Linked DNA regions of Rattus norvegicus. The protein of the gene in region 4 purifies or fractionates together with the protein of the main gene of each other region. This does not show direct contact. Links are inferred from orthologs where the notes say so. Each region holds a gene or a part of one and is shown on either strand. Other genes may lie near its edges. The genes, in order: Hnrnpm, Parp1, Kpna6 and Lmna.

Region 1 (4,404 bases), on a different chromosome or scaffold from region 4:
ACAGATCAAGAGAACCCCAGGGTAACCTTTCCACAACCGCAAGTGTAAATATAACTGTAACAGTTTCTATTTAGTATAATTCATATACTCACGAGGAAGTTGCTGTGGGCGTTCAGGAGGAAAAAAGTCTCCCTTTGGTAAAGCCCTCTCATCCTGGAAAAAAAGAAAGAAAGAAAAAAAAGAAATCTCTACTGGAGCACCAATAACAAAAGAACCAGAGAAGCCACCTGTACACCTCCACACCTGTAATCACAACACTTCAGAGACTTACAAAAAAGGGTCAGGAATTCAAGGCCAGCTTTGGGATACATACCAAGTTCTAGGATAGCTTACATTACACAAAACAAAATAAAAAATAATAACAAAGATAGGTTTGGAGATGTAGCCCAGAGATAAAACACCTGCCTATCATTTACAAGGCCCTGTGGCCAGTCCTTAGCACCAGGGAAAAAGCAAAAGTTTAAACTAAACAAACCAGATAATTAGTTAAATATAAATAAACTATGACATAGCTACGGCACAGAACTACATCAAACATAAAGAGATATATGGGAGTATGTTTTTATCTTCTGGGCCAACAACAGGAAGGATAAAAATACATTTGTATTATTTGGTGAGTAGGGCAGCACCTGAGCAGTAAGTACCAGTGAGGCTTACACTATCATTTCATGGTTTAATTATTTATGCTTATCTTATGTGCACTGGTATTTTACCTACATGTATATCTGTGTGAAGGTGTTGGAACTCTTGGAGCTGGAGTGGTGAGCTGTCATGTGGGTGCTAGGAATTGAACAGGAGTCTTCTAGAAGAACAGCCAATGCTCTTAATGCTAAGCCATCTCTCTAGCCTCTCTTTTCATGTGTTTTGAGACTTATGAATCCATTAGCTATTCAAAGAATTAAACTCCTTCAAATAACAAAACCTATAGTTCCATTTACTTCTGAATCTGAACCCTAACCAGACTGCCCTCAACATCTTCCAGTACTGTTTCTATAAATTATTTTCTTTGGCAACACTATAGCAGAGTTATTGTTTATGAAGACTAACTCCAATAGACCTTTAAAAGCTGTCTGAATCAAATATTTGTTCATTACAAATATAATACTAACCAAACACTGTATGTTATACTTTGAAAACTGGAGCTCGCAGGATACTCAATGGACTTCCTGAACATAGGAGTTAACAGTAATAGTCAACCAGAGAGGGATCTACAGAAAAAATTTCCATGAGCAAAGGCGCTCATCTCTCCGCAGACTACTAATTTAAGGGCTAGATATAGTTTTAGTAATTCTAAATTTCCCCTAACTTATTTGAACATATTACAAAGAAAGTGATCCTAGTAACTTACCATCTTGACGTGCATCGGTCTATCAAACAGCAACTGGCCATTAAACATAGCTGGTTATTACAATTAAGGCTATTTCTAACAATTGTTAAAGCATACTATATAAATCGATAAAAAGGTAACAATCCCATAGCTACCAGTCCCTCTCTGAATTCATAAGCAATTTCAACTCTTTAGGTATGAAGTTTTAGTAAAGACTTTATACTACAAAATGTTTCTGGTTAGTTAAAGCAAGCAGTTTCCTATGTGTTCAACAGGTCAAGAGTTCTACTACTTCTAAAATAGCATATTTTCTGGATAAATCATACAGTAATACTCTTCTGAGTTTAATTTCTGTAGTTATGTGTGACATGCTCCATTGTAACTTTAAAAAGATGTAACCCCAGGGCAAGCCTACAGCAGGGAGAGAGATCTCTTCAATGTCTACTCTACAACAGACAGAAGGTTCAATTCAAAAGGATATTATAAACAAATAAAAGTCCCAGTTCTTATAAATGAGTTTTCCTAAACTCTTCTGAAAAGACCATTCATAGCATGTGTCTATCCATTTGTGTTCCACTCCAGAAAATTTTCAGATTCCATAGTAATTTATTCACTCTAGTCACAGAAAAAAGTTACTTCTGCCTTATTATTATAATATACTTAGGTGCACTAATAGACGTCTAACAGTGCTGTGGGCACTGTCTGCCATGAGTAAACGCCCACAAAAGGATACATATAGCTTGCACAGCTTCAATGGACTGTTCAAAAGTCACAGTGCCTATTCCACGACTTTTCCCATCTTTATCTTCCAGAATGTCTGCTCGGACCACCACACCAGCCATACTAAATACTTCTTTCAGTTTCTTCCAGCCAACTTTATAATCCAGCTAGGTGAAAGAAGAGGGTAGAAACCTCAAGGTAAACTTTGGAGAAAAAGACATACTTTTACTATTAAGACTTGCTTGACTGACTTTACAAGAAAATTAACTTCAGTGGAATTTTTCAAATAGGATTGCAGAGCCTGGCCTTAACTCTGCTATTTATTATCTCTTCTCTTAAATGGAACAACCGAAGTCTCCTCACATTTAACAAACTTTCCCCCTCAAACTTAAAAAGCCAGCAGGATGGTGGTGGCACCTGCCTTTAATCCCAGCACTCAGAAGGCAAAGGCAGGTGGATCTGAGTTGAAGGCCAGCCAAGGCTACTCCACAGACAAATTGTCTTGAAAACCCCAAAAAGTCACTCCCTCTTTTAAGTCTGTCCAACACTCCTAAACCCACTTTGTCCTAAAAGTATTTGTCCTTGCAGAGAATAAAGATATCACCATTTACTCCAGACACAAAAACTGTAACTCTATTGTCTGTCCATTCTTCCCTATACCTAAATAAACCCCAATAAGGATGCATATACAGCTACTGCTTTTGTAAATGCCTGAAAACCTCAGTAAACAAGACCTGGGTAGGACTGAGATCAATCCTGAAGCCACAAATGCAGGGGTTACAAGAGAACAAAGTAGAAGGTCTACTTTAAAATAAAAACAAGCTATCTATCCTAAGTCTTACTTAAATTACTTGTAGAACAGTGATACAGTCAATCTAAAGTGTTTTGCACACTTTTCTAACAATGTAAAATTAAATGCATACTGTTTTCACATACTCCCATCCCTCCCTATTTTTCTATTTTAGAGAATGTTCCCATTTACTTACATTTGCTACAAATACTGTGCTTCCAAGTCTTCCAGCCTGTAATGCATGGATAATCTCATTTGGGATGTTAGGATTATTTAGGATACTGGGTGGGATATTAATCATTCCTGGGCCACCTGGTCCCATACCCATCCCACCAGTCGTAGCCATCACCTTTTGCATTGCTCTCCTTGCATGTTCACCATCAGGATCCTGAAAGAAGCACAAAGCGTTATAGCTTGAAGTAGGTTAGAATAGGCTTGCAGAAACTAGTGGAACTGCTGCCTTCACCACTACAGAGGCTCCCTTCTGCCGAGGTGCAGCTCAGCTCAGTGAAAGTTTCTGCCTGATATTCCAAAGTGCAATCCCCAGCAACAATCATTAAACAAATAAAATACAATAAAAAGGCTCTCAGTAAAGCACTGTAGCAGTGGTGGTAAAATAAAGGTCTATAGCCTTAACCCTCAAGATTGCTAAAGCAGTTCAAGGTCTGCTTGAACTCAAAGCCAGCCTACAAAGCTAAGTGAAGCCTTGTCTCAAAGTAAGTAAAAAGTTTCACGTAGGACTCTGTTACAGTCCAGTCTGACACTCCTTGCTGTGTACTCAGTAAGTCTCACTTTGGATACAACTTAGTAATGGCAGACCTTATCAAGCAGCACAGTATGCACCAGTCACTCCCATTTCCAACACCAAAGAAAAACAAGCAAACAAAACAACAAAACTGCAGAAACTAACAGTTTGAAAAGTATTTCTCAAATTAACAAGACAAAACAAACCACAGCAACCAGAAGAGTTCTAGAAGAGTAACAGTTCAGAACCAAAAGGCATAAAACTAAAAATCCAAAAACGATTTTGACTAAAATGAATAGGTAAGGGATAAAAGGATTGGCTGACCTGAGTTAAAAATTCCAGATTGAAACAAGGTCTTCAGGGGCATACAATGGTTGACTCTTACTATTAGAGTAACTTTGTAAAACTCATCAATGATTTTTCACAAAGTCTGAAATCACCATTCTATAATCCCAGGTTCCCCAACCCCTCAAGGGCACCAGTGCTAGCACTTAAGTACAGTCAATGCAGTGTATCAGCACCTAAAGAGAATTATGAAAATCTGATGCTGGCATGATTATCTTATTCTTATTTGTGTCTGTGTGTACATATGGGATATATAGCAAATGTATGTGAACATGCCTTGGAGCTGGAATTATACAGGCCGTTGTAACCTGTGTATTTCCCACTTGAGTGCTGGAAATTAATTAAATGCAGATCCTCTCTAGAAAAGCAACAAGCATCCCCAACCGCTGAGCCATCTTTCCAGCTTGACCCAATTCCTGAAGGCTGCCTCTTCAATTTACCATTAACACATAAGAACTGACTTACACCTAGCCATGT
Region 2 (4,404 bases), on a different chromosome or scaffold from region 4:
CTGGGATAGCTGGGGGAGGAGATGGTGACCAGGACTGTTTTTAACGAAATCTCATCAAACATTTGATTTTACCAATGAAGACTTGGGAGCCAGATGTCTGCTGCTCAGAGAGGCAGAGAAAGCACCTAGGTGGCCTTCCTTCTCAGCTGCGGTCCCAAAAGGAAGCTCTCCTAAACCACACCAGTTCAAAACCTGTAAACTGAACGTCCTCCCTCTCCTTTCGGTATGCCTCTCTGTCCTCCTGCCTCCCTCTTACTCTGTTTTTCCCCACTGTTCACTTCCTGTCACCTGGTTGCTTGCCTTTGACCCATGCTGACTTCATTGAGTCTTATTTACAATAAACAGAAGCTCTTGGACGGAAGGTGTGTTAGGATGAGCCACACCACAGCCACGCGACAGCGCCATGGAGCTCATTTCCTGCAGGGCCTCCTGTGTGTCCCCCACAGCATAAGGGCACTCACTGCGGACTCTCCAGATGGTACTTGCTGCTGGTTGAAGATGAGCAACTCCTTCAGGTCGTTGGTGGAGCAGGCTTTCTTCAGCTCATCTTTGATATTCCAGACCAGCTCGTTCTGAGCCTGAGGATGAGAGCCCTCAGCTGAGGTCAGTTCTTTCCAAACTGTAATTAATAGCTTTCTTACCTTACATTTAAAAAGGTTACATTCAGTCACTGATGTGTGTGCACTATCATGTTTCACAGGGCACGTTTAGAGGCCTGAGAGTGTGGGGGCTAATATTCTCCTTCCATAATGCAAAGGCTGGGTTTTTGTTGTTGTTTTTTGGGGATGGGGTGGGGTCCTCACTCTATTCTGTAACTCTGCTGTCCTGAAACTCACTATATATACCAGGCTGATTGGCCTCTAACTCTGCCCCCCAAATGTTAGGATTAAAGATGTGTATTATTACGCCTAGCCCCTAATGTAGGTTTTGTAGGTCAAACTCAGGTCACTAGGGGTCAGTGAGGGGCTGGCCACAGGGCACCTGGGACACTGTTCAAGGAGGTGGGATTCACTGTCACTGAAGCAGGGAGTATGAGCCTCTTTCTTCTGGGATACTAAAAGTCTGGGTCATACACTTTAAAAGTCCAATCAGTAACTTTTAAGGGGAGGCTGAGGTGAGTGAGACAGAATCGGACTCAGGAACCCAGGCTGGCCTGAAGTTAAGCATGTAGCCCAGGCTGCCCTCAAATTTACAGAAATTCTCTTGCCTCAGTCTTTGTTGGACTTTGGCCCGATGACCTGAGTTTGGTCCCTGGGACCCAAACTGTGGAATTGACTCCATCATGGAGGCTCACAACACCACCCTAACTTAGTCTGGGTTATCTGGATACCCTTTTCTGACCTCTTCTGGCACTAGGCAAGCATGTGGCATACAAACACACACATATAAAACAGTTTTTCACATACAATTAGATATGTATGATTGACTGAAACCTCAACTCAGGTTACTAGACTAGGTGAACAGTGTCTTCCCGGCTGTTTCTCCAGGGCTGGTCTGACCAACTCCACCCTCAGGTTTACCCCTCAGGCAAACCCCTGCACACATCAAAATAAAGCATAAATCTCTCGGGCACAGTACAGAAGCATCACCTGTCAATAAAAAAGCTGCTGGCCTATTAGCTTAGACAGGAAATAGAAAGTGGGAGTTTCAGTAGGAAGAGAGGAACTCTGGGATAGTCCAGCACAGGAAGTTAATTAGCTGATGGAGATGGTTGGATAAGCCCAAGAAGTAACTATCCACGTGGCAGGACTCAGAGTAAACGGGGCAATGACAGCTAAAGCTTTGGCCTAGGCATTTATTCATTGATAAATCAATCTCAGAGTTGCTATTTTGGGAATTTGAGCACAGATGGAAAAGCCCACAATTATAATAAAGCCAGGCAATGCTCTCAGAAAACATTTGCAAAGCAAGAAGGAGACCACTTGTAAATAAGACTGAGTCCCTTATTGCATGGGCCCTGGTATCAACCCTCAGAAAACTGTTTCAAGGCACAGAGAAGGGACTGGAAGTTCTGGGCCCCATTATCTTTCCCAATACCCACTTACAGATTTCCCTGCACACTCAAGCTCAAGCAAGAGCATAAGTGATCCCTTCTACACTGGGACTCGAAAACCCTGACTTCAATGTCTAAGTGCCCACGCTTCGATGGCGCTTTTATGCGCATCTCACTCATTCTCACGGTGACCTGCCAGGGCGGTAGGCCGGGGTGGCCCTCTCCCCTTGGGAGAGCAGGCTGGTGGGTCGTGCAACGGGCTGCACCTAAGATGGAGGGGAGTGCCGGCCCTGCCCACACCAAGGGAAGGTTTTAACTCCACTGACTGAGGCCATCACCTACCATCCCTCCTTCCCACTTCCGGTGCTGGGGCTCTCAGTACCAACACCCTTCTCACTTCTCCCCAAGGCAGGGCACACAGTGGGAGGGCAGACCCATCTGTCTTATGGCTGAGGCTAGAGACTACAGAGACAGACAGACTGAAGTAGGGAAGGAGCTGAGAGAGTGGGCCAATCCTGCTTTTATCACTGGCGATGTTGGAGAGCACATCAGCACACTTACTGAAAGGCAAATGCAAATATGTGAAAGAAAAATTAAAAAAAGAAAATCAAACAGAGGGATGACTGGAGCCACTCATGACTCAGTTAAGAGCACCGGTTGCTCCTACAGAGAACCTACATTCATTCCCAACATCCACATGGCAGCTCAGAAGTCTCTCCAGTCTTCATAGGGCTGCAGGGAGCAGACGCACGTGAGACACACAGGCAGGCAAAACACCCATACCGAGAAGGAAAAAGCAGCAGTTGAATATCACACACACACATTTAAGCAGAGGGCTCCACCCGTCAAAACCAGATCACATATGCTTATAACTGAGCCAGTAGCAAAAGCTGAAAACCACACACTCAAGCTCTGGAAAAATCACGTTCCCAAGACTGTCCAGCGCCCAACATTCTACAGGTGGTAACCGCTTCTCAGCTCCGAATAGCACAATTAACTCTAACGAGCCTTCCCTGGCCAACAGCCACCGGTTTAGTGTGGGGAATACTGCATGCGCTCCAGCCCTTTGTTGACCTTCCTTCCCAGGCGCCTGCACTGAGAACTGGCATCTGGGGACTCAGTCTCATTCTCCAACACTCATGAGTGAGCTGAAGGTGTAGAGTGCCACATGATGCCTCGACGGGACTGAAGCATCATCACCGTGTCTGTCACCCAGGGTCGAGGAAGACACGAACATTCTACATGGTTGGTCCTGGCTGCAGACCGGGCATCCAAGGCCTCATGTGCTCCATTACCCAAATAAAAATGGTCTCTATGAACAAGGACAAGCTCGGAGAAAGCAGCCATGCACACGAGAGTTTCTCCTGCTCTTGGTGAGTAGGGACAGCCGAGTGTCCTGCATGAGAAAGGACAGAGGACACACAGCCCAGGACTCACCTTGAGCGCCTTTTCCAGTTTACTACTCTCCTTGTCCTTTCCTTTTTTAGATTTCTTTTTGGCTACTTCATCTATTCCATCCACCTCGTCACATTTTCTCTTTCTGAAAGAAATACAGGACTTAGTAAGAACTCTAGAAACCGATACCAAATACCAGGTGACATGCCACAATGTCACTTTAGCCTTGTTAGCTGCTGCCCAGGCAGACGGGAGATGCTATGCCATTCAGGGCCTCTTCTGCCAATAAGGAGGGGCCTGGAGCTCATCCCAGTGTCCAGAACAGCCAGGACAGACCAAGGGCTTAGGTCACATCTCATGCTAAACCCATATGTCTCTTGCATACAAAATGACTGGGAACTGTGGCAAAGTCAAACACAACTATAAGAACTGAGTCTGGAGTGAGACAGAGCTGCTCCCCAGAACACCACGCAGGCTGAGTTCACCCTGGCACTTTCTAGAGCCACGTGCTAGGGAAGGGCAGGACTTGCAGGGCTATGGTGATAGCGAGATCAGGCACAGAGCTGAGCACGCTCCAGCTCCCCAGCATCACGTCATAGAGACACCCTGCCTGCCGCCGGCCCAGGGCATCCTCACCCTCTGGCCTGACTTGCTAATGTCACATTCCAAAGCTACTGTGCTGCTCTACAAACTTGTGTTAGGCCCACTGAGAGCGCAAGAAGCTGCCTGGTGACAGCAGCATAGGAGTTGCTTGTGAGCACAGCACGCCCATTAATAGGCTACTCTGGGAGGAGGCCCTTCCATTCTAGATGCTAATTCCATGTGTGCCCATCTGTTCCGATTCCAGGCCCTTCCCACTGTTCTTCTTTTTGTGAACAGCCATGATTCTCCTTCCCAGAGATCCAGACACAGAAATGTCCCTGCCGCATGACTGTGGCAATGTTAAAAGAACACAAATGTGGATCTTCACAGGGTTTGGAACCATGGCCATCACCCGTGCAAGGAAACTTGGATGG
Region 3 (4,404 bases), on a different chromosome or scaffold from region 4:
TCATGATCACTTATTGATAGAGAAACAGAAGTCAAACCAGGAGACAGCACGTTACAGTCATTGGGATGGCTGACACAGACATAACAGAAGTGCGATGTCTTGGAGAGGGAGAAGCTGGAGCATGGAAGAACAGCGCTGGTAGAGACAGAAGACGACACGGCTGCTAACCTTACAGATTAGCATAAATCACCATGTTATCCAATCTCTTTTGCATACATGTGACCAAAAAAAAGGGAAGCAGAGACTGCACACCAGGGCGCACAGCAGCATCATTCACAACAGCTAGGGAGCAGAAACAACATACACGCTTACAAGACGATGAAGGCTTTAAAACAGAATGCACAGACACTAGAACACCATTCAGCCTTACTAAAGAATTCAAATTCAACACACAAAGATGTGAAGGACTAATATGTTGTGACTTCACTTACAAGGAAGTGTCTATAGCAATCAGTGGAATAAAGCCACACATAACCGGCCAGAGGAGGGAGAGCACACACTAACTCATGGGGACACCTGCTGAGGACGGCAGGCAGGAAGTCAGCGGGTTCTAACTTTGGAACAGGGAGCCATGCAGTGCCCTTGGCTGTGGGTCATTCCAGCTTTATCTTACATCTCCATGTCCATGTGTGTGCAGGGCCACACTGCTTACTCTTCTGAGACAGGACCTTGTACCGCACAGGCGGGTCTCAAAGTCCTGGGCTGCTGCTTCCTTCCTACGTCAGCCTCCCCAGCAGTTGCACCCCCACCCTGCTACTGGTTTGAAGGAATTATTTTTCGTATTTTTGTTTTTTTGAGATAGGGTTTCATGCAACTGAAGATGGCCCTGGACTAGCTGAGCCTTCTGCCTCTCACTCATAATTGCTAGGATTACAGCCCAAAGGTTAGCATGAGTTCAACATGAGGTGATGAGCACAGACACTGAAGCTGAGTATTGGTGATCCCACAGCTTCCAGTGTCTCAAAAGGACCACGGCCCAGCCTTCATTTCCTTACACTATTCCAGTAAGTCAGCCATTCCATTTAGCTTTCTTTGCATAAGCAACAACTGGATGATTTGTTTCTAACTGTTCAAAAGAAGGAATCGTGATAATATAGAAACTGCCAGTGCTAAAACCACTTAAAGCCATGCTTTCTCTGTTAGACCATGTAGTTACATAGGAAGACCTTTTCCCACAAGCAGCTCTCTTATGTTCTCCCACGGCTGACCTGAGTTAAGATCCCATCCCTCTTCTTCCTCACCTGGGTCTGGATATCATCCCCGGTGACAATATTACCCACAGCTCTCAAGGCAGGAGACGCCACTTTGTAATCGTTGTGCCTACAGAGGAAGAACAGCGATCAGTGGAAAGGCAGCGCATCCCGTTCAGCCCTGCTGAAAACCAACACTGGCTGTATGCATGCCTTCAGCTGCAGACCTTTGGTGGGTCAGCAATCTGCTGATGGTAGCTTTTCTGCTTTGTTCTGTGAGACAGTCTTTATACTGCAGCCCACCCTATCCTTGAATTTGGTATTCTCCTGTCTCAGTCTCCCAAGTGCTGGGATTACAGTCCCACCACCATGCCTCACTTTGGTTAGAGCTCTTTGACCTTGGAAACCCTCTTGAATTGAAACCACTCACATCAGAAGCTCTACCAATCTCCGGCAGACTCCAGAGTCTATGACTGCCTGGATCTTCTCATTGGGGCCATCAGACAGGTAAGAGAGGGCCCAGCAAGCATCTGCCAGCAAGTCTGAGTCGCTGCTGAAGAGTAGGCGAGACAATACAGGCAAACAAGGAGAGACCTGTTGGAAGCAGAGTAAGGAGGACTGCATCAGCTCTGTCACTAAGCCTATCATGGCTCCCCCTTCCCAACATGGAATTCTACACCCTGGGAATGTCACCAAACCTGTAGGACCACCTTTTCACTTTCCTACCCTGGTACAAAAAATAGCCCTCTACACTGACAACTGCCTTTTACTTGTACATGAGTTGAGACTCTCATGGGTCTGCCCAAAACTTAAAAGAAATCCTAGTTAGCTCTCACCTTTGCGAACTCTGGAGGAGGGTTCTTCCCTCGGCAGAGGTTTGACAGGGCCCAGACTGCATTCCGTGTCATCGTCAGTCGTGTGGACTTAGTAAGGAGTCTGTAAACAGTGAAGCCATAATCTGAGCACTGATGGCCTAAAGCAGGGCTCTTAGCATCAAACCCTAGAGGATAACCCAGACCCCTGACTATTGTGTTCAGTCCTGGCTGGTCTGAAACTTGCTATGTAGCCTGGGCTGGCTTCCCAAGGGCTAGGATTATCTGTGCAACTCTGGTCATCCTTAAACTCATTCTGTAGACCAAGGTGGCCTTGAACTCAGAAATCTGACTGCCTCTGCCTCCTGAGTGCTGGGACTACGGTGTGTGCCACCACTGCCTGACCTAGGGCTTTATTATCTTAAGGGATTAAGTAAACCCCCCCCAAAATGTACCGCCACTTAAGCCACCTACAGACCCCACCCCCGGATGCTAATGCTATTGATACTCACGTTAACAGAGGATTAAGGATGGAACAATTCAAGACATAGTCTCTGCAGACTGAACTGTCTCCAGCTATGTTTCCAAGAGCCCAGACTGCCTGGAAAGGAGTGAAAGGACTGTCATGAGAGCCTGGTGGCTTCTGTGACTACTTATAATCAATGCTACAAAGTGGTCCATCAGGTTGAGGACAGTGTTAGGGCCCGACCCACTGAAGTGCTCTCCCTAGCTTCTAGGGTCTAGAATTATCCTTACTGAGCACGTGTTCTGTAAGAGCTTTTCCCCAGGAGGCCCTGGCTCAGTGGGACAGACAGGCTGCCATAAGACCTGAAGCCAGAGAGGCTGAACTACAGCCCCATCGTCCCTCCAGCAGGAAGGGAAAGCTTCGACTCTCTCCCCACCTTGGACCTGATCCACATCAGGTAAAAGAAACTTTCCGTTTCTGTGTAAGTATCACAGGCTAACCGATTCATATGTGCAGCACCAAGCCTTGTTCACTTGTCCATGTTCCTCCAAATACGCATTACTATGTTTTTTATCATACTGTTAGTACCGCTGAAACATTAACCAAAGCTCGAGCATTACCTGTTCTTGTACATCTTCAAAGTCTGAGTTAAGCAGCTCTATAAAAATGGGGACAGCTCCTGCTTCAATGACAATTTTGGTCTGCTGAGAGGTTCCAGAGGCAATGTTTGTTAGAGCCCAGGCAGCTTCAAACTGAAAGTGAGATTACGACACAACTGAGAGGTCACTCCAGACTGAGCAGCCCTGCCTACCACCTGCCTCACAACAGCCAACCTCTAGCACATAAAGAAGCCGAACCAGACACGTCTTTGCCCACCATCCTGTAGTTGGCAGCAGGCAGCGATGTGCACGCTGCACATGTGAAGGTCGACCGACTGGGCTTTACTGACCCAGAAGTTCTTTCGTCTCTGAAAGGGGAAGAGTGAGGATAGTAAACCCCTCCTCCCCAGTTTTCCTCTCTAAGGTCTTACCCTGTGGCCAAGGCTGGCCTTGAGCTTTTACCTCTGTTCCCTACATGCTGGCATATACTATAGCCATGAGCCATCATACCTGTATCACACCTGCATCTCTCCTACATCTCACCTGCTTCACACCTGCATCTCACCTGCATCTCACCTGCTTCACACCTGCATCTCACCTGCATCTCACCTGCTTCACACCTGCATCTCACCTACATCACACCTGCATCTCTCCTACATCTCACCTGCTTCACACCTGCATCTCACCTACATCACACCTGCATCTCACCTGCTTCACACCTGCATCACACCTACATCTCACCTGCATCTCCCCTACATCACACCTGCATCTCACCGACATCACACCTGCATCTCATTGACATCACACCTGCATCTCACTGACATCACACCTGCATCTCACTGACATCACACCAACATCACACCTATGAACTCCGTTGTGTTTCAAGCCAAGTTCTGATGGATCTGCTCATTAACTGTCTCTGGACACAGTGACAATTTGTATCAGGGTAAGTTAGAGGTGCACTAAACTCTGATTTATAATGAAACAATGTATCACATTCTCAGATCTCTGAAATGAAAACCCCCCCAACACACACACACTCTTCTAGGTCTTGCTATGTAGCCCAGGCTGGTAACAACCCTGTGGCAATCCTCCTGCCCAGCCTATTGCATGCTGAAAGTATTAGTGTGGCTTAAAGCTGCACCTGCCCCATCTTTGCATATATACACTGTGGAAACTCAGCCAGGTTCACATAATTACTAAGATCCAAAACCTTTTTTTGTCTGTATGTCCATGTATGTGCCATACCATGTTTGTAATCAGAGGACAACCTGCAGGAGTCAGTTCTCTCCAATCATGTGTCCTGGGTTGAGGTGTGTGTGTGTATGTGTGTGTGT
Region 4 (4,849 bases):
TTTGTTTTCTCTTGCTTTGCTTTGTTTGAGATGAGGTTGCACTATATAGCCTGGACTAACTTTGTAAGCTAGGCTAGCTAACCCAAACTTTTGGTGATCCGCCTGCCTCTGCTTCTGCCTCTGCCTCTGCCTCCTGGGTCTAGAATTACTCTCAGAGGTCAGAGGTTCCAAGGAAGGAGGCAAGGGACTAGAAGAAGGTTTCATGGGTAAGAGTGCTTTCTGCCAAGCCTGATGACTTAAATTCAATCCCTAACCCCATATTAGGTAGGAGAGAACCAAATTCCCCAAGCTATGTTCTGCCGTGAACACTGTGGCACATGTGCATGTACTCTCACACACACTTAAATAAATCTAAAGTTGGGGGGAGACAGAAAAGGGACCCCAGCATGCTGTAGAGACAGGACAGGAAATGTAGCTATCCAGGCCCATAGCTGTCCCTTTCAGACATCTGTGGTCTATCTCCGTCTCCTGTTGTCTCTAAAAAGCCACTAGGGTAGGAGGGTGGCGTCTGAGTCATCCATGCAGCTGTCTAGCTTGGACTTGAGCTTACCCATAAGCCTGGGGTGAGCCTTCCCTCACTTCCAACTGTCCCCTTCTCCCAGCTTAGATATCTAAACCTCTGGAGGAGAGGGAGGAAGAGGGAAGGAGAGAGTTGTTTTGTTCCCCCTCTCCCCTGCCTCCTCCTTGGAACTTACAACCCAGTTTGAAGAGCCTTGTGGGTGCAGTTGAGAGATCCAAGTTGAACTGTGCTAAAGATTGTCACCGGTCTCATAGTTATGCCTAACTCCAAGCCTGACCCTGAACTCTGAGCTGGAATTAAACATTAAATTGGTCACTTTTCCCCACCCCCAGCCCTGGTGGGAGGGCCCGGACAATGCCTTTCATCCTCCCCAAACTTCACTCAGGCCATTTCTCCACCTCAGTCTGAGCTCACCAGCCATACAAAGGGCAGAGCCATGAGTCTTCTGCAATGGACATAGAAGGACAGACATCCATCTAAGCTCACTTCGCCTCCACTTCACCCCACCAGCAAGGACCTAGGTGTGTATACTCACCCCAACCCCCTTCCTGGAAGCCCAGCCTCCTCGGGTAGGCTCAGTTGAGAATAGAGGCAGGTGGCTAAATATAAAAAGTCCACACATCGCCCGGCCCCTACCCCATGTGTGTACACACCACCTGGTGTCCCAGGCCTGGACAGCTGCACTGGGGGCAGAAGACACAGAGTGGCTCAGCTAGATGAACAAAAGCTCTATCTTCCACTCCCCCTGTCCCCAGATCTACTAGACAAGTTCTGCACCAGGATCTGCAAGAGCTTTGGTGGTTGACTTAAACTAGTTTAACTATAGCTTAACTAACTAGTTAACTCACTGGGACTCCTCTAACTTGCCTCATGTATTTCTTGATAAGGTATTCATATCCCTAATAGAGAAAAGACAGGTAATTCCTATTAGCTGAGAGAAAGGCTGGACCCATCTGTGCACATGACCTCCGCTCATACTTGAGAAAATGAGCTTGCCACCACCTATGGCTGGGATCTGGTAAGGAACAGAATGACCAACCACTGATAGTCAGTGGGCTCTGTCAGAAGATAATGCAAAAGGAAAAAGAGGAAGAGAAGTCTAAGCTACCAGAGCCTTAGGTATCTGCACGCATGGCCAACGCTCTTTGGCTTGGTCTACAGCATAGAAGAAAAGATCCCAGACACAGAGCCTGTGGGAGTCCCGGGAGCCAGGGCCCACACTCCCAGGCTTTGGAAAGTCCTTTTAGAAAGAAGGTGGAGTCGAGTAGGGTGGGGCAGGGTGGGGCAGGGATGGGTGAGGTGGGAGTGGCCTGAAGCTCTCTAACGGCTGGATTTCAAAAATGTCATTGTATTCCAGCAGTTTAATAAGATCAAGACATCAACAGCTTGGAGGATGGGCCAGAGTAAAGTCTGGCTTGGCTAGGAAACCGGAAGTGGCTTATTGGCTGAGGGAGGAAAGGACAGAGCTTCCAAACCTTTAAGTCACCAAACAGAGAGGGCCAGGGTTGGGGAGCCCCAGACCCAGGCATAACAGATTTTCCAGGGCCATTAGCTTCTGTGCCCAGTTTCCCTCCCCACACTCTCTTGCATTCCTAGTCGAGGCAGGCCAAGGGCTGTGGGATCTGCGGGGGAGCTTCCTCCTGTGCTTCTGGAGGGCAGAGTCTAGGAAAGGTCCCAGACATTCCCAGCTCCTAGAACCAGGAGAAGGCCTTGCGTACACAGCCATGGGAGAAAGGGGCTACGCAGCCTTGGTGACCCCTCTACAATACCACCGGACAAATGTCTGTGTGAGAGATATGTTTTAGTGGACATCATGTGTTCAGAGTCACGTTGGGCAAAATTGGCAGAGTGCCAAATCCACCAAGAAAGTTCTAATAAAACCCTTTCACCCATTCTGCTGTGTTCCGGGCCTCATTCGGGAGTTCCAAGACCTGGTAAAGCCTGTTCTGCCTTCCTCCAGCCCATCCCCCAGGCTCCAAATGGCTATAAGATCCCACCTTGACAGAGTGAGGCCCTGTAACCAAGGCTACTTGGTCTCCATGCCCCACCATTCTTTATATCCCCCCACCCTCTCACAGAGACCCTCTCCCTGCTGTGTCCTGTCATGACTATTACCCTTGGCACTGCCAGTCACCCGCGGGAGGCAGTTCCGGGGAGGGAGGGGACTAGATGGCCAGTTATGGAAGACTGCTGCTTCCCTGGTGCTGGCCGGCCAGGCCTCACTCACCGCGCCTTCAGCTCCTTGAACTCCTCACGCACTTTGCTCAGCTCCAACTGGAGGCGGGCGCGCTCCTTGGCCACAGAGTCGAGGGTCTTGCGGGCATCCCCCAGCTCGGCCTCGTAGGCCGCCTTGATGCCGGACACCTCTCGGCTGACCACCTCTTCAGACTCAGTGATGCGAAGGCGCAGCCCCGCGTTCTCCGTCTCCAGGGAGCGCACGCGATCGATGTACACGGCCAGACGGTCATTGAGCTCCTGCAGGTCCTCCTTCTCCTGCAGCCGTGTGATCCGAGTGGGCGACAGCGGGGTAGAGCTGGCCTGCGCCCCACTGCGGGTGGCGCGCCGCTGAGACGGGGTCTCCATGGCCGGCAGGGTGGCAGTGCTGCCCGCTGGGCAGGGGTCCCGAGAAGGGCGCGGGACTCGGACAGAAGGACAGAGGCTGCTCGGGGGACAGCGAGCCGGCGAAGCTCGCTCCTGGCAGGCGTGGAGATCTGGGCTGGGCGCTGGCGCACCTCGGGATCTGGGTTGGCTGGTGTTGAGGCTGAGGCAGCGTTCCCGCGAACACTGAGTCACTGACAGCCGGGCAGAGACTCTAATAGGCCCTCCTCCACAGGGGGTGGATCCACTGCTCTTAAAGGAGCCATCCTAGACCCAAAGGGGCGGAGGCAGGTATGGTGAGGAGGAGCCAGCATGCTAACCCTCAGTCTGCAGAACACCCCTTTCTGGCCTGGGGCTTCACAATGTTGGTTCCTGCCTACTCAACTCCAAGCTTTGGCCTTCTGGGGTAAAGGGCAGAGTAAAGGAATGAGAGTGGGTGGGCGAAGGGTAGTGGCGAGGGACCAGGGGAAGTAGGTGCAAAGTGAGGGAGAGAGCTAGGCATCCCCAGGGAGCCAAGGAAGCTGGGGGAGGGCTGAGGCTGCTGCCCATCAGTGACTCACCCACTTCCACCACTGGCTCCCCTTTCCTCAGTAGTAACAGTGAGTCACCTCTCCCCCACGCACAGGAGCGGCCTATCCAGGGCTGCATTTCAGTATGCCAGGAGTGGGATGGCAAAGGAACGTCTGGGTTTTTAGGTAACTAACATATTACTTTATGCCCTCAAGTTTGGGGCAAAGATCAAGGGCCTTTTTTTTTTTTTTTTTAAACCTATGCACTTCCCTTATATTTCTGGCTTTAAAACCAAACATTGGGTTTTAGATCTAAGGAATAAGCCTCAGTCCCCAAGAGAAAGCCAAGAATAGAAGCCAGAAGCTGGCCCCTCCCAATCCCCCCTCCCCTTTCATTTGGACCCAGACAGTTGGAAATGGCTGTTATAATCCCTCCCTTTCAGCCCCTTTCTTCAGTTTACTCCACCCAGCCAAGTCCAAGACTGTACTTATTTTTTTCCAGGACTGTACTTATTTTAATGGATAATTTAAAACAGATACCAGAGCTGTGCGTGCATTCAACACATGGCTAGGACACCAGGTTCCAGATTTTTGTGACTGCAAGAAGGGCCTGAAAAGAGGAATGGGGTCGGAGGGTTATTAATGCAGGGTCTCCATCTGGGTTCCATTCCTAACAGTGGGAGCACGAAGAGCAAAGCCACCCCTCCTCAGCCACTGCATGCCTTTCTAGCCAGTTATGAGTGGGCCCTGACTAGACTATCTCCCAATACAGTAACCCTGGTCCCAGGTTCTTCAGCCTCCATCAAAGACTCTTGGTCAGCTGTCTAGTCCTCTCCTGTAACCCTAGCCTAAGCTGCACTGGCCCCATCATCCCCTCCTGCAATGGAGCCTTCCCTGCTCATTCCATGGAGCACTCAGGGCACCGATTAACCTGCCAGTTCCAGAACTGGACAGGTTCTAGGTCGTGGGCTTGAGTTGGGACTCTAGGAGATTTTGTTGTTGCCATTTTGCTTTTTCAAGACGGAGTTTCTCTACGTACCCCTGGAACGCCTTTTGTAGACCAGGCCAGCCTTGAACTCAGAGATCTGCCTGCCTCTGCCTCCAGAGGACTGGGATTAAAGGTGTGTTCCACTCCACTTGGCTCTGGGAGAGTTAGTTCTGTGAGGGTGACTGGGCAGTGTGGTAAGAAGCCAGGATGCATCTAGGGGAGAGGACCTAGGAC

Evidence for each region.
Region 1: the proteins of Lmna (region 4) and Hnrnpm fractionate together in Homo sapiens (co-fractionation; 3 studies listed by BioGRID, with this or other methods). This does not show direct contact. The link is inferred for Rattus norvegicus from reciprocal best matches to the Homo sapiens genes LMNA and HNRNPM.
Region 2: the proteins of Lmna (region 4) and Parp1 purify together in Homo sapiens (affinity purification with western blotting; 3 studies listed by BioGRID, with this or other methods). This does not show direct contact. The link is inferred for Rattus norvegicus from reciprocal best matches to the Homo sapiens genes LMNA and PARP1.
Region 3: the proteins of Lmna (region 4) and Kpna6 purify together in Homo sapiens (affinity purification with mass spectrometry; 4 studies listed by BioGRID and IntAct, with this or other methods). This does not show direct contact. The link is inferred for Rattus norvegicus from reciprocal best matches to the Homo sapiens genes LMNA and KPNA6.

Annotation. Positions count from the first base shown.
Region 1 is NC_086025.1:15,158,009-15,162,412, forward strand, and holds part of Hnrnpm (heterogeneous nuclear ribonucleoprotein M), read right to left. Parts: intron 3,226-4,404; coding exon 3,034-3,225; intron 2,215-3,033; coding exon 2,061-2,214; intron 1,399-2,060; coding exon 1,349-1,398; intron 154-1,348; coding exon 93-153; intron 1-92. UniProt on the Homo sapiens protein: Pre-mRNA binding protein in vivo, binds avidly to poly(G) and poly(U) RNA homopolymers in vitro. Involved in splicing.
Region 2 is NC_086031.1:94,848,980-94,853,383, reverse strand, and holds part of Parp1 (poly [ADP-ribose] polymerase 1), read right to left. Parts: intron 3,534-4,404; coding exon 3,431-3,533; intron 579-3,430; coding exon 462-578; intron 1-461. UniProt on the Homo sapiens protein: Poly-ADP-ribosyltransferase that mediates poly-ADP-ribosylation of proteins and plays a key role in DNA repair.
Region 3 is NC_086023.1:147,280,401-147,284,804, forward strand, and holds part of Kpna6 (importin subunit alpha-7), read right to left. Parts: intron 3,221-4,404; coding exon 3,089-3,220; intron 2,604-3,088; coding exon 2,515-2,603; intron 2,127-2,514; coding exon 2,027-2,126; intron 1,785-2,026; coding exon 1,621-1,784; intron 1,321-1,620; coding exon 1,242-1,320; intron 1-1,241. UniProt on the Homo sapiens protein: Functions in nuclear protein import as an adapter protein for nuclear receptor KPNB1. Binds specifically and directly to substrates containing either a simple or bipartite NLS motif.
Region 4 is NC_086020.1:176,254,930-176,259,778, forward strand, and holds the start of Lmna (prelamin-A/C), read right to left. Parts: upstream 3,307-4,849; 5' UTR 3,104-3,306; coding exon 2,748-3,103; intron 1-2,747.